Arabidopsis thaliana: one gene and its partners. The protein of the gene in region 1 interacts with the protein of each later gene in a pairwise test. Each region holds a gene or a part of one and is shown on either strand. Other genes may lie near its edges.

Region 1 (3,756 bases):
TCGGCTTCTCGAATCGAGTAGGAACACCGAGTGGTTTGGAGAAACTAACAAAAGGATCTGAGGAAGGACTAGTCTTCAATTCCCCTGTAAACATTCCAGAGTTCTTCATAAACTGAAACTCATCCATAGATTGCCTGAGACCGCGGTTAGTTCTTCGCTTAGCCTTTGTCGATTCAGTCAAGCTCATGTAACTTGGCTTGTGCTTTTTTGCTTGACTGCTAGAGTTATCTGAAACAAGTCCAGTTTTTCCAGAAACAGGCGTAGTTGAAGTACAAATCGAGGATGAACCTGAGCTCTCGTTAAACTCATAACCAGGACTTGAAGACAGCATATGAGGAGGAGGTTTTGCAGATACTCTAGTGGTCACATTGTTTCTTCTAACTTGAACAACATCCGCAGTTTCCGGTGATTTCAAATGTTTATGAGGCAGAGGAGGAGGCGTGGCAGCGGTATCAACAGTGTCCATAAGTCTAGTCTCCCATGGCCTAGCAGCCATCCAACGCTCCAACCAACTCCATCCCCAACTATTCTTATCAAACTCTTGACTTTTAAGATACGAAATCGAACTATTCGTCTTAAGGTTTGAGCTAGTAGTTGACCTCCATTGCTACACAAAACAAGATTCCCGATTCAGCTTCAGACACGAACTTAAACAAGATGTTGAATGTGGACAAGTTAGTTACCTTTTGAGCAAGAGCATAAGCCAAAGCACGTTCCCTCTTAAAAGCACCTTCTTGTCTCTGCTGCAACTTTGACTTAATATCATCCACAGTACCTTTCCTATCACACCACCCTTCCTGAGAACATAACAAATCTCAAAACAATAAACAATCATCAAACCAATGAGCTAAAAAGGTAAAGACAAGAACCTCGACTTCTTTCAAGAGATCAGATTTGGTTCTATGTTCATCTAAAAGCTTTTGAACAGCTTGTCCTTCAACAGTCATCCTCACACGACGAGCTCTAACACGAGCTTGTACTCTCACCAAAGCTTGCATGCATCTCAATGTAACAGCTGCTTGTTTCCTAACTTGTCTTCCTCTCACTAAAGCTTGTAACCTCACTATCCCTTTCAATGCCCTCAACGCTCTTCTCGCCTAATTAACAACAAATCCTCAAATTAAACTAAGTTCTATTCCTCTCAATTCTAATCAAAACCAATTAGCAAACTCACCAAGAATCCACGAAAAGCGGTTTGGATTCTAATAGCAGCCCATTCTTCTCTAACAGCTTTGAAATCTTTAGGAGGAGCTCTAAGAACAGTAGCAACAGCAGCAGAGTAAACAGTAGAAGAATCAACACCGTCTGAATCAGACCGATGTTTTCCTCGAAAACCCTTCCATGAATCTACTGAAGTAGTCCTCCATAGCTTCCATTTCTTGTTTTTCCCATTACCCTTTTCCTGAAAACAGAGTATCTCTCGATAAAGCTTTAACCTTTGAACGAGAGAACAAAAAAAAAAGATAATGAACTTACGATTTCATCCTTCTCTAGCTTCTTGAGACCGATAATGGACTTGACCCATTTCCCTGAAGCACCCATAGATTAAAAAGTTTCGATCTTTTTGGCTCGAATTCGTAGATTATTTTTTTCTTCAGGTATGTAGAAAGTTTGAGAGTGAGAGATTGATAGAGAGAGAGAGAATATCGGAGAATGTGAAGTTGTGGTGGTAATGGAGGGAGTGGTGGGTTAAAGAGAAGTTTTTGAAATTTGAACAAATCAAAGCAAAGCAACAAACAAAATATTAATAAAAAGTTTGCTCGAGTCTTTAGGCTTTTGTCTCTGATTGTGTTTTCACACTTATTTATTACTTACACAAACAAATGTGTCTGTGTCCTTCTCAGAGTTACAGGCATGAAAAAAGAAACCATGAAAAGGTACAATAAATTAATAAATATATATATATATGTATGTTAGGCTTTTTGTTGTTTTTTACTTTTTACAGTGACTCACTCATGTTCATGTAATACCTTGTTTTGTTTTATTATTCTTATATCATTGGATTCGAAATTTAAACTTCCCAAAATGTTGCAAATCAGATTTACGAAATACATTCTCTTTCGAAAAGCAATGTTTAGCTTTTGGATTTTGTGATTTGGACTGGTTAGACCTATCACTTGTCTAATAACCTCTATAACAGAACTTATTATCTTATATAATTATGACAAGGTTTTCTTTCTAAGACCATACACATTGGTCTTATGACTCAACAGTCAACACCCTATTTAACTCTCCACAAAACAGCGTTATAGCAATTTAAACTTTACAACTCTATTGCAAATTATAATAAATTATGCTCTCATAAAAAAACTAAATTCACGAGTGATTGATACAAAAAAACAACAACTGAAACGACAAAAGAACAACCTAAATTCACGAGTTAAAGAATCGAAAAAAATGCCCATGTATCTCCCAAATTTAGTTTTCAATATATATACTATTTTTTCTCGCTCATATTTAGTTTGAGTGAATCTTGTACATGAATCTATTTGTCTAGCAACTTTAAGATTAATTAGACATAATAAAAAAAAAAGATTAATCAGACAGAGAAAAAAGATGAACTCTGTAAAGATTGGGTCCTTAGCTATACAATGAAAATGAGATATATACAATTAATTCTAATTGATGATAACTTCTTAAAATAATAAAACAAAAATTACATGAAAACATGTACCACCGAAAACATGCACCATCACACTTGGGATTGAGTCCCGCTCGATACAAATGTAGGGATTTGGCTAATGGGCCGGACAATTGTGGCCCAATGTTGAAAAAAAACTACATGAAATACACAATGAAAGGAAAAAAATTCGATCCAAGAGTTGTTTGTCTGGCTAATGGGCCGGCCAATTGTGGCCCAATGTTGAAGAAAAAACTACATTAAACATACAATGAAAGTAAAAAAAATCGAGTCAAGAGTTGTTTCTGATATGATGTACATTAGCGATTAATGTGCTAACTCACAAATCAACCAGAATGGTGGTGGCATAGCTCTTAAAGAGGAAATGAGATAGAAACAATATGTTACAAACTAAAAATAAATCAAAATCATAGAGTATTACAACACACAAATAAATAAATTGGAAACAGACTCTACATGAAACCCATGAAATGAATTAGAAGAGAGAACACAAAAATATTGTATTAAATAAAATCTTTTGCCATTTTTCAATTGAGGATCATAATACATTGACGATGAAATCCAGAGATTGAATTCCTGATACCAAAAAAAAAAAGCAAATCAAAACCAACTATTGTTTTTTAACACAATTTAATCCACCTCATTTTCATCATCATTTGCAATATCCTATTAAATCAATTCAACACTCTCTATTGTAAATAATTTTAGATCATATTAAGCGGATCACTTTCGGCAAACGAATTCTTTAGACATAGGAGTGTAACTTTGGCTTTGGGTCGTTTTTCACATATCTTTGAAGGTAGAGAGAAGAGATAGTCAAAATCCTTTTTTAACTTCTTTAGTTGTTGGAGCTTTCTTTGGAATTTGACTAAACTTATGGTTTCTCTACTGTTGGACTAGGTTGGATTTCTTCATATCCAATATTATTTGTCCGTTGTTGACTTTTCTGATATAATCAACTTTCTTCAATTGAGGTTTTGCAACTTCGCCTTCATTGTCAACTTTTTGCATGGCGGTAAGAAAAAGTCTTCGTATTTTCGTTACCTATTAGCAGTACTGCCTATTAGTAGTTTAGTACAAATGAATCATTTTGATAGTTTTAGATGTTTTTCGGC
Region 2 (3,756 bases), on another chromosome or scaffold:
AAAAAAATACTAATAGACTAGAATTACCAGATGGAGAGAGCAGCTACGGAGATCTCAGCATTCTTCAAATATCCAGCAAATAATATGACTGCCATAAGATACCATACCTCCAAACTTCCAAAGTAAAAATAAACAATAATATGATAAAAAGTTAACCAAATTGAACAATGATAATAACATTAACGATAGAGTCGTATGGGTGTGGTTGTGACCAACCAGAGCATAACAGCAGAAGCCAAAGATAATCTGACGAAACTCCACAAATTATGAAAAGCTTCCCATGAGAATCCAGACCAAGCTTCACCGCATGTACCACTAAATATGTACACAAGCTGCGCCACGACAATGAACCACCACGAGGCGTTGAGCACGACGGCTAGACCCGCCGTGCCCCACTGGAGCCCCTCAATGACAAACCACGTGAGGAGCACGTGTAGAACAAGTGCAACCGCTGATATCGCAGCCATCACCATGATTTTGCTTTGTGATTGCAAGAACTTAGCCGTTGGGTAATTAACAGCGTAAGCAAAGATCTGAGGGATCATGTAGATGGAAAATATTCCCGTGGCGCTAGAGATCGCCGGCGTTTGACCGATGAACGCGAGGATTGGAGCGGCGAAGATGTAAAGAAGCGAGAGAATAACCGCGGTCACGTTTAGTATCACCCATGATCGTTGCAAGTAAACGCCAAGCATTGACAATTTCCCTGCTCCAAACGCTTGTCCACATAGCGTTTCTAACGCGCTTCCCATTCCAAGCTAATTAATGGTCACATTCACAATTATTATTACAACTCAAAAAAAAAAAGTTTCTTAGAATATCTTACTTATAAATATGGTTTATATGGTAATAAAAACTATTATAATCTTACTACAAATTGAAAAATCGCACAAGATTTCGTTCTTTTTTTTTGGCGTTTGTGCTTACATTTTTTTTGTTTGTGTTATACATTTACTATCATATTTATTTTTGATCTTTTAAATATCTTTTTTTGCAACATTTTGATTTATATTATTGAAAATGATATTTTAGAACTAGCTCAAAACATTTTGAATGGTTTAAAAAAAAAAAACATTTTGAATGATTTAGAGGTATATCTCCCAAACTAATAGTATTAAATTCAGCACATTTGAATGATAAACGCAAACCAAAAAGGTCAACAAGGGGATATTAATTTACCATGACACCAAATGAGAATCCAGCGATGACCGAGTTTTCAACGGAGACCGCTGCGAGAGCGATGGTGCTGATGTGTCCGGCGAAGACCTGAGTAGCAGCGCCGAGAGAATATTGGGTTATAGACATGAAAATGGCTGGCCCTGCCAAGTACCATAGCTTTTTGACCTCCACGTTGAACTCCTTGACGAAGCCACCAACGGTGGTGATCGGAGGAATATCTTCCACGGATGAGAAAGGAAGAGCAGGTGGTTCTTCCGCCGCAGATAGAAGGGTCTCCGTAAGAATTTTGTCTTCTTCCATATCCACGAGATAGAGACAAAGATGGAAAGATTAAAGCATGTAAAAGACTAAAGACCAAAGAGTGAGCATCTTGGGATTAGTCATACATGAATTATATAGAAAATAATTTCTGTTTAATAAGTTAATTTCCTAATGTTAAGAAATATTGATGTGTTGATAAAATTGATGCAGCGCAAGTAAGGTTTAAAATTGGTGGTTCAGTTTAAAATTTTAATACGAACACGTCATTGGGTTTAATCGTACACGACAAGTATGGACTTTTCATCGTTTTTTTTTTTTGAATGTAGGTTTTACTTTTGGTTTATTCTTTCTTTTATATTCATGAAACAAAAATCTTAAGACTAGGCCCAAACCAAACCTAAACCTTGACTGAACGCTTTTAACATTTTTAGTTAAAACTTAAAACATAAACAACGAATATAGACTGTGAGAGTTTGTCTTCGAGTTTCATGAATGAGAAGAGAAGGCAAGAGAAGACTCTCAAAGAATCAGAAGGTTTGATTCAAAGTTAGAAAACTTCAGGCCCATACGCAAGAAGCCCATCTCGTACAAGTCGTTGAAGAGGAAGCACGCCTGCAGCATTGTTTCCTTTAAAAGGTCTGTGTCGTTTTGTTCTTTGTAGAAGTGTTCGAACAAAACATGAAAAACAGGGGACAAAGAATCAAAGATGCAGAGAGTAGATGAGATGGAATGGCGTGTTTGGTTGAATGTAGTTAATGAGTTGTGTATGTACAAGCTCTAGTAAGAGCCAACTGTATATAAGGACTGATTCTAGTGGATTCCGGGACAATAAGTTTCCCGGCGTGAGTAGGGTTTCACACTGAGACCCGAACACGTAAAACTCTCTCTTGCACTTTACTTTCTCTGCAATTTCTCAGTTTCTACTCTGCTTCAAGTCTTTCTTTCTAAGTTTCTTCACACGAGTGTAATGGAGAGAAAGAGAGGGGTTTATGGTGATAAAGGTCGCTACTTTAACACCCAAAATCTCCACAAAATGGTATCAGAGCTCCAGGTTAAGGAGGAAACCTCTCAAGAACCTAGATTCGAAAGATTCGACGGGAGAGGAGATTACACACTGTGGAAAAGAAAGCTTCTTGCTCAGCTTGAAGTTATGGGTATCTCAGATGCTCTAAAGGAGAAAGAAGAAAAGAAGGAAGCTGTTGAGACAGAAAGGGTGAAGGTCGTGTCTTCAAGCTCAGAAAGAAGAAGAGAAGAACACAAGAAAGACCATTCACGAGAAGAGAAGGAGAACAAGGCCAGATCTGTTATCATACTTAGTGTTGCAGACAATATCCTAAGAAGAATCAGAACAGAGGAGACTGCTGCAGGTATGATAAGTGTTCTAGATAAACTCTACTTGTCTGATCCACTATCAAGTCGTATATCTCTTAAAAGGAAGCTCTTTGAGTTTAAGATGAGTGAAAACAAGGCTGTAGAAGAGAATATAGAAGATTTCTTCAGGATAGTTGAAGATCTAGAAAAGTTAGATGTTTATGTGTCTGATGAAGACAAAGCATTCATGTTGCTTTTGTCTCTCCCTAGAAAGCTTGAACAGCTTAAGTACTCTTTAGATTATTGCGAGGAACCCTTAACTTTGGGTAGAGTAATGACTGCAATATACAAGAAAGAGCTTGAGGTTGCTCAAATAGAAAGACAAACAGAGGAAGAAGAGAAGCGTTTGTCTTTAAGGGAAAGAGAAAGGTCAGATTACAGAGAAGAACAAGCTAAGGGAAAAGAGAAGGTCAGATCTGAGGCAAGAGAAAAGAAAGGTCCATGTTGGAGATGTGGACAAAAGGGACATGTCAAGACAGAGTGCTTCCAAGAGAAAAAGAACAAGTCAAGGAAGAAGTCAGTTAGATATGAAGAATCATCAGCGCAAAGTATTGTTTCTGGTGGGTCTGTGTTCATGGTTTCAGAAGCTGCTGCTCGAGCAAGTAAAGGAAGCTCTGAAGAATGGATTTGTGACACAGGTTGTACTTCTCATATGAGCTCAAGAAAAGAATGGTTTGAGGACTTGGTATTTTCTGAATCTGGAAATGTGTCAATGGCAAATGACACTACTTTACAGGTTAAAGGGATTGGAAGTGTGAGGATCTTGAATGACGATGGAACAACAGTCTTGTTGACTAACGTCATGTATATTCCGGGCATGTCAAAGAATCTCATATCCTTAGGGACACTTGAGAACAAGGGATGCTGGTTTAAATCCAAGAATGGGATTTTAAAGGTCATAAAGGGATGCATAACATTGATGAAGGCTGAAAAAGTTGGTACACT
Region 3 (3,756 bases), on another chromosome or scaffold:
CAAAGAATAGTATGGGAATGGGACCAGGGGCACGTGAGAGATTTTAACCCTTGTGGTTCGTGAGAGTCAGATCAGCGACGTGATACAAATAATTGAAACCGTTATGAACGATGAAACGTCGTTCGTTATTAAATGAGGTATGGACAAAGCCTAATTTTCGTGTGGTCGCCTCATTGGCCACTGCCTTTTCTTGAAGAAATAACTTCGGTTACACTGACGTAACACCAGGGTTTTAAAAGTTTTGGACTCTAGTATACATTATCCAATCATATATTGATATATGTTGATTCTAGATGAATGTATATGGAATATAAATACTTCATATCATACAAGTAAATGACTCAAATCTATAAAAAGTGACAAGGAGATTATAAGTTAAGTCAGCTATATATATTTTCTTGTAATCTGTTATAAGTTTTCTAATGAAGTTATGATAGTGTATAGGTATACATGAACCATCAATATCTCTATCCATAATGGGAAGTAGAAGAGTGAGCGTTTGCGTTTGCGTCCGGCCAAACGCTACCCACAAAGCATTAAGAGCCCCAACTGTACTTTAGAACTACAAGTTTGTTTTGTCTTTTGTAACATTAAGTTGCAGAGTCACGAGGGTACGAGTGGCAGATGTTATATAAGTGGACATTATAGTTTCATACCCTATCATACGTAAAGACAAGATAACAAAATAAAATAAAAAGCTTGCTGTGTTACTGAAACCCAAGAAAGAGTTTTTAAATTTCCTCTTTTAACCCTGAGACAGTGACAGTTAAAACTGATAAAAATACGTTTGGGTCCCGACCTTAACATACGGATTTTTTATAGATGTTATCACGTATGTGTCGTGTTAGGATCAAAACAAAGCATTGCTTATAGATACGGATACGGTACCGTATCAAAGTCACGCTCCTCTTTGCTTTTGTCCTTTTTATCAGCATCCTAATGCACGCATGGTTCGTTGGATTTTTTTTTGCTACAACCATATTTTCATGTGTGATAATTTTCTTTTATGCTAATAATTGTATAGATATACATGTGGGATCTATTTTAATGTGAACGGATTTATGATTGTGGTGGCTTAGCCATTAAAAACAAAAGTCAACGGTAGTAACTTAAAACTTAAGCGATAGAGAAAAGAAAACTAAAGTAATCTAATGGATAACAAAGTTTCTGAATATTTTTATAAGTGGAGTTTGATTTGTTGTTCCTTGTTAAGTTTAGAAATTTTAAAGATTAACAAAATGTAAAAAAATGAAGTGATTATAAGAATGATTAAGAGAGGTTTACCAAAAACTCGATGGAAGCTGAGATGAGGAAGATTTGAAAAGTGGAGAAGAAAGCGTCGGAGAGGAAACCACCGAGGAGAGCTAGGAGAAAAGCTGTGCCCATGAAATTGGTGACGTCATTTGCCGATTTTGATGGAGACATGTGCATGTATTCTCTTAGGTATAGCACAAGATTACTCGCATTCGCCAAATACGCTAGATTCTCTAATATCTCCACCACTTCATAAGAGACAAATATATATGAATCAATCACAATGATCCATTAGAGAATCGTTCTTAATATAAATGTGTGGATGATAAAGAAAAAGATGCATTAAGAGAATCGAGGGGTAAATTTGGAATTTTGAAACTGACCTAAGACGAAAGAGGCGGCGAGCATGCCACCGTGACGGCCTTTCACGGCTGCTCTGTTTCTCCAATCGGCGTAGCCTTCCCATCTTGAGACCTCTTCTTCCACTTCCTGTAATAATATGGCAAAGAACAAAACAAGACTTTGAGAAAAAGACATATATTTCTATAAAAGGAAACATCATCAAATATTGATTTCTTGAACGATGAAGAAAATAATGTGAGAAGCTTCAAGAACCCACCATTCTCTCTCTTTCTTTCTCTCAAACTTTGAGGTAGAGGAGATATAAAAAAAGGTTTTTATGAAATATAAGAGTGAAAGTGAGAAGGGTATTAGCGGAATTTAAAGAGAGGAGAGGAGAAGGGATTGAGGAAGGGTCCAATTGGGTGAGAAGAAAGAAGAATTTGGGCCCTCTTTATTATTAGAAAATGACTTCATGTTGTAGTTTTCTTTATGCTCTTCTTAGGAAATAACATTGTTTTCTTCTCCTCTAGAGAAAACTAGCTTTATTTCTTTGTTTTTAGGGCACTAAAGATGATATTAATTCCAAGAATTTATAAAGCTAGTAATATAGTGGTGGAATAAAGACTAATCAATCATGTTTGTTTTCCCTTTACTTAATATGCAAGTTGATTTTGAAATGGGGTTTCCAATACCAATTAACATATGAGAATTGATTTTGTTCTATTATTCTCTACAAGGTATAGTGGTAACAAAGTTTAAGGATTGATTGCATATCGATTACTCACATTATATTATTCGTTCACATTTACATGTTAATGAACACTAAATTCTTCTAGATAGTTAAAGAATGACATAGATTGTTTCACGTAAAATAAACTTTTAGTCTACCACATTTATCTGGTCATAATTATTAAATAAAATACACACTATATTTGGGTTTGGTTTGTTTAATGGAGAAGGATGCAAGTAAATCCAAAAAAAAAAAGTTGAGGGCAAGATAAAGGTGATGGAAGGAATCAAGCCCTCCACTTAATGGCTTTAAAATAAATTTAGTGAAACTATCTTTTTGACTAAAACAAAAATGAAGTAGAACATTCACTTAATCTAGACCTACTGATTCCTCCTCTTTCTATTCATGGCAGTTTTCATTGCAAAATATCTCCAATAAAATGATGTTACTAATTACCTCTTTTGACGTCTTAAATTCTTTTGAGATAGAATCATAAATAAACTATGTTTTTGTTTGTCGGGTAATATTGAACTATATATGTTAATGGCTGATATTTGTAAACCATTTTCTATGTACTTTTTATTAGCAATTTAGGTAAAAAAAATGTGATCGTATTTTTGTTTAAAAGATAAAATAAACTGTTGTCTCTATATATGATGGTTTTGCCAGAAGATCTTTCTTTCGGAACTCCATTAATATTGGATACGTGTCGTCTACGCAGAACTTTATTGTTACCACGCACACAAACACACACACACACACAGTGTGAAGAAAAACTTATTTAATTTAATATCGCATATATAAACACACACTCACTGATCAGTGACGAATGCTCGGAGGAGCTATAGTGGTTAAAGTAATTTTTGTATTTGTACTGCCAATATATCTAAAATTCAAATTGAAAGTTCATATATAATAGAAATAATAGACAATAAAACAACAAAGTAACCATTATCATGGCATGGATACAAGAATATGCTGAAATTTAACTAATGCTTTTTTTTTAGGCCAGTGCTATTCTACTATTCTCAGAATTGAATATATTGATTATTCCAGTGCCATATATGAATACGTATTTGTGTGTACGTGTATACATGTTGGAGTATATGATTCAAATTCACAAGGACAAGGCTCTAATCACCCTGAGGTCTTTTTATAACGAAGAATCCAATACTGTTTGGGAGGACTTTAACATTAAAGTGATCTCATGCAACTAAAGAAACAAGTTGCATAGACAAGTGTCGTGTTTTTCTTATCCATGCAATATTTGTTTTGTTTTCTTGATTTATTTCCCTTCCATTAAGGAATTTTATTGTAAACCTGGTTCAGTCTCTATTGCAAACTTTTTCTCTTCAGAATTTATTGTTGTGGTTAACATAAACAACAAACCACATCCTTTAGTTAAAACACTGTTTTTTTTTTGGTGTTAA

Evidence for each region.
Region 2: the proteins of IQD6 (region 1) and AT5G38030 interact in a protein complementation assay, tested with the Arabidopsis thaliana proteins (one large-scale study listed by BioGRID).
Region 3: the proteins of IQD6 (region 1) and NRT1:2 interact in a protein complementation assay, tested with the Arabidopsis thaliana proteins (one large-scale study listed by BioGRID).

What each region holds. Positions count from the first base shown.
Region 1 is NC_003071.7:11,143,441-11,147,196, forward strand, and holds the start of IQD6 (IQ-domain 6), read right to left. Parts: upstream 1,664-3,756; 5' UTR 1,543-1,663; coding exon 1,477-1,542; intron 1,403-1,476; coding exon 1,175-1,402; intron 1,098-1,174; coding exon 870-1,097; intron 798-869; coding exon 684-797; intron 608-683; coding exon 1-607. UniProt on the Arabidopsis thaliana protein: May be involved in cooperative interactions with calmodulins or calmodulin-like proteins. Recruits calmodulin proteins to microtubules, thus being a potential scaffold in cellular signaling and trafficking.
Region 2 is NC_003076.8:15,173,824-15,177,579, forward strand, and holds the start of AT5G38030 (MATE efflux family protein), read right to left. Parts: upstream 1,744-3,756; 5' UTR 1,480-1,743; coding exon 1,180-1,479; intron 759-1,179; coding exon 217-758; intron 115-216; coding exon 28-114; intron 1-27.
Region 3 is NC_003070.9:26,298,532-26,302,287, forward strand, and holds the start of NRT1:2 (nitrate transporter 1:2), read right to left. Parts: upstream 2,154-3,756; 5' UTR 1,877-2,153; coding exon 1,874-1,876; intron 1,744-1,873; coding exon 1,638-1,743; intron 1,503-1,637; coding exon 1,285-1,502; intron 1-1,284. UniProt on the Arabidopsis thaliana protein: Low-affinity proton-dependent nitrate transporter. Involved in constitutive nitrate uptake. Not involved in histidine or dipeptides transport. Involved in (+)-abscisic acid (ABA) transport, but not in gibberellin, indole-3-acetic acid or jasmonic acid import.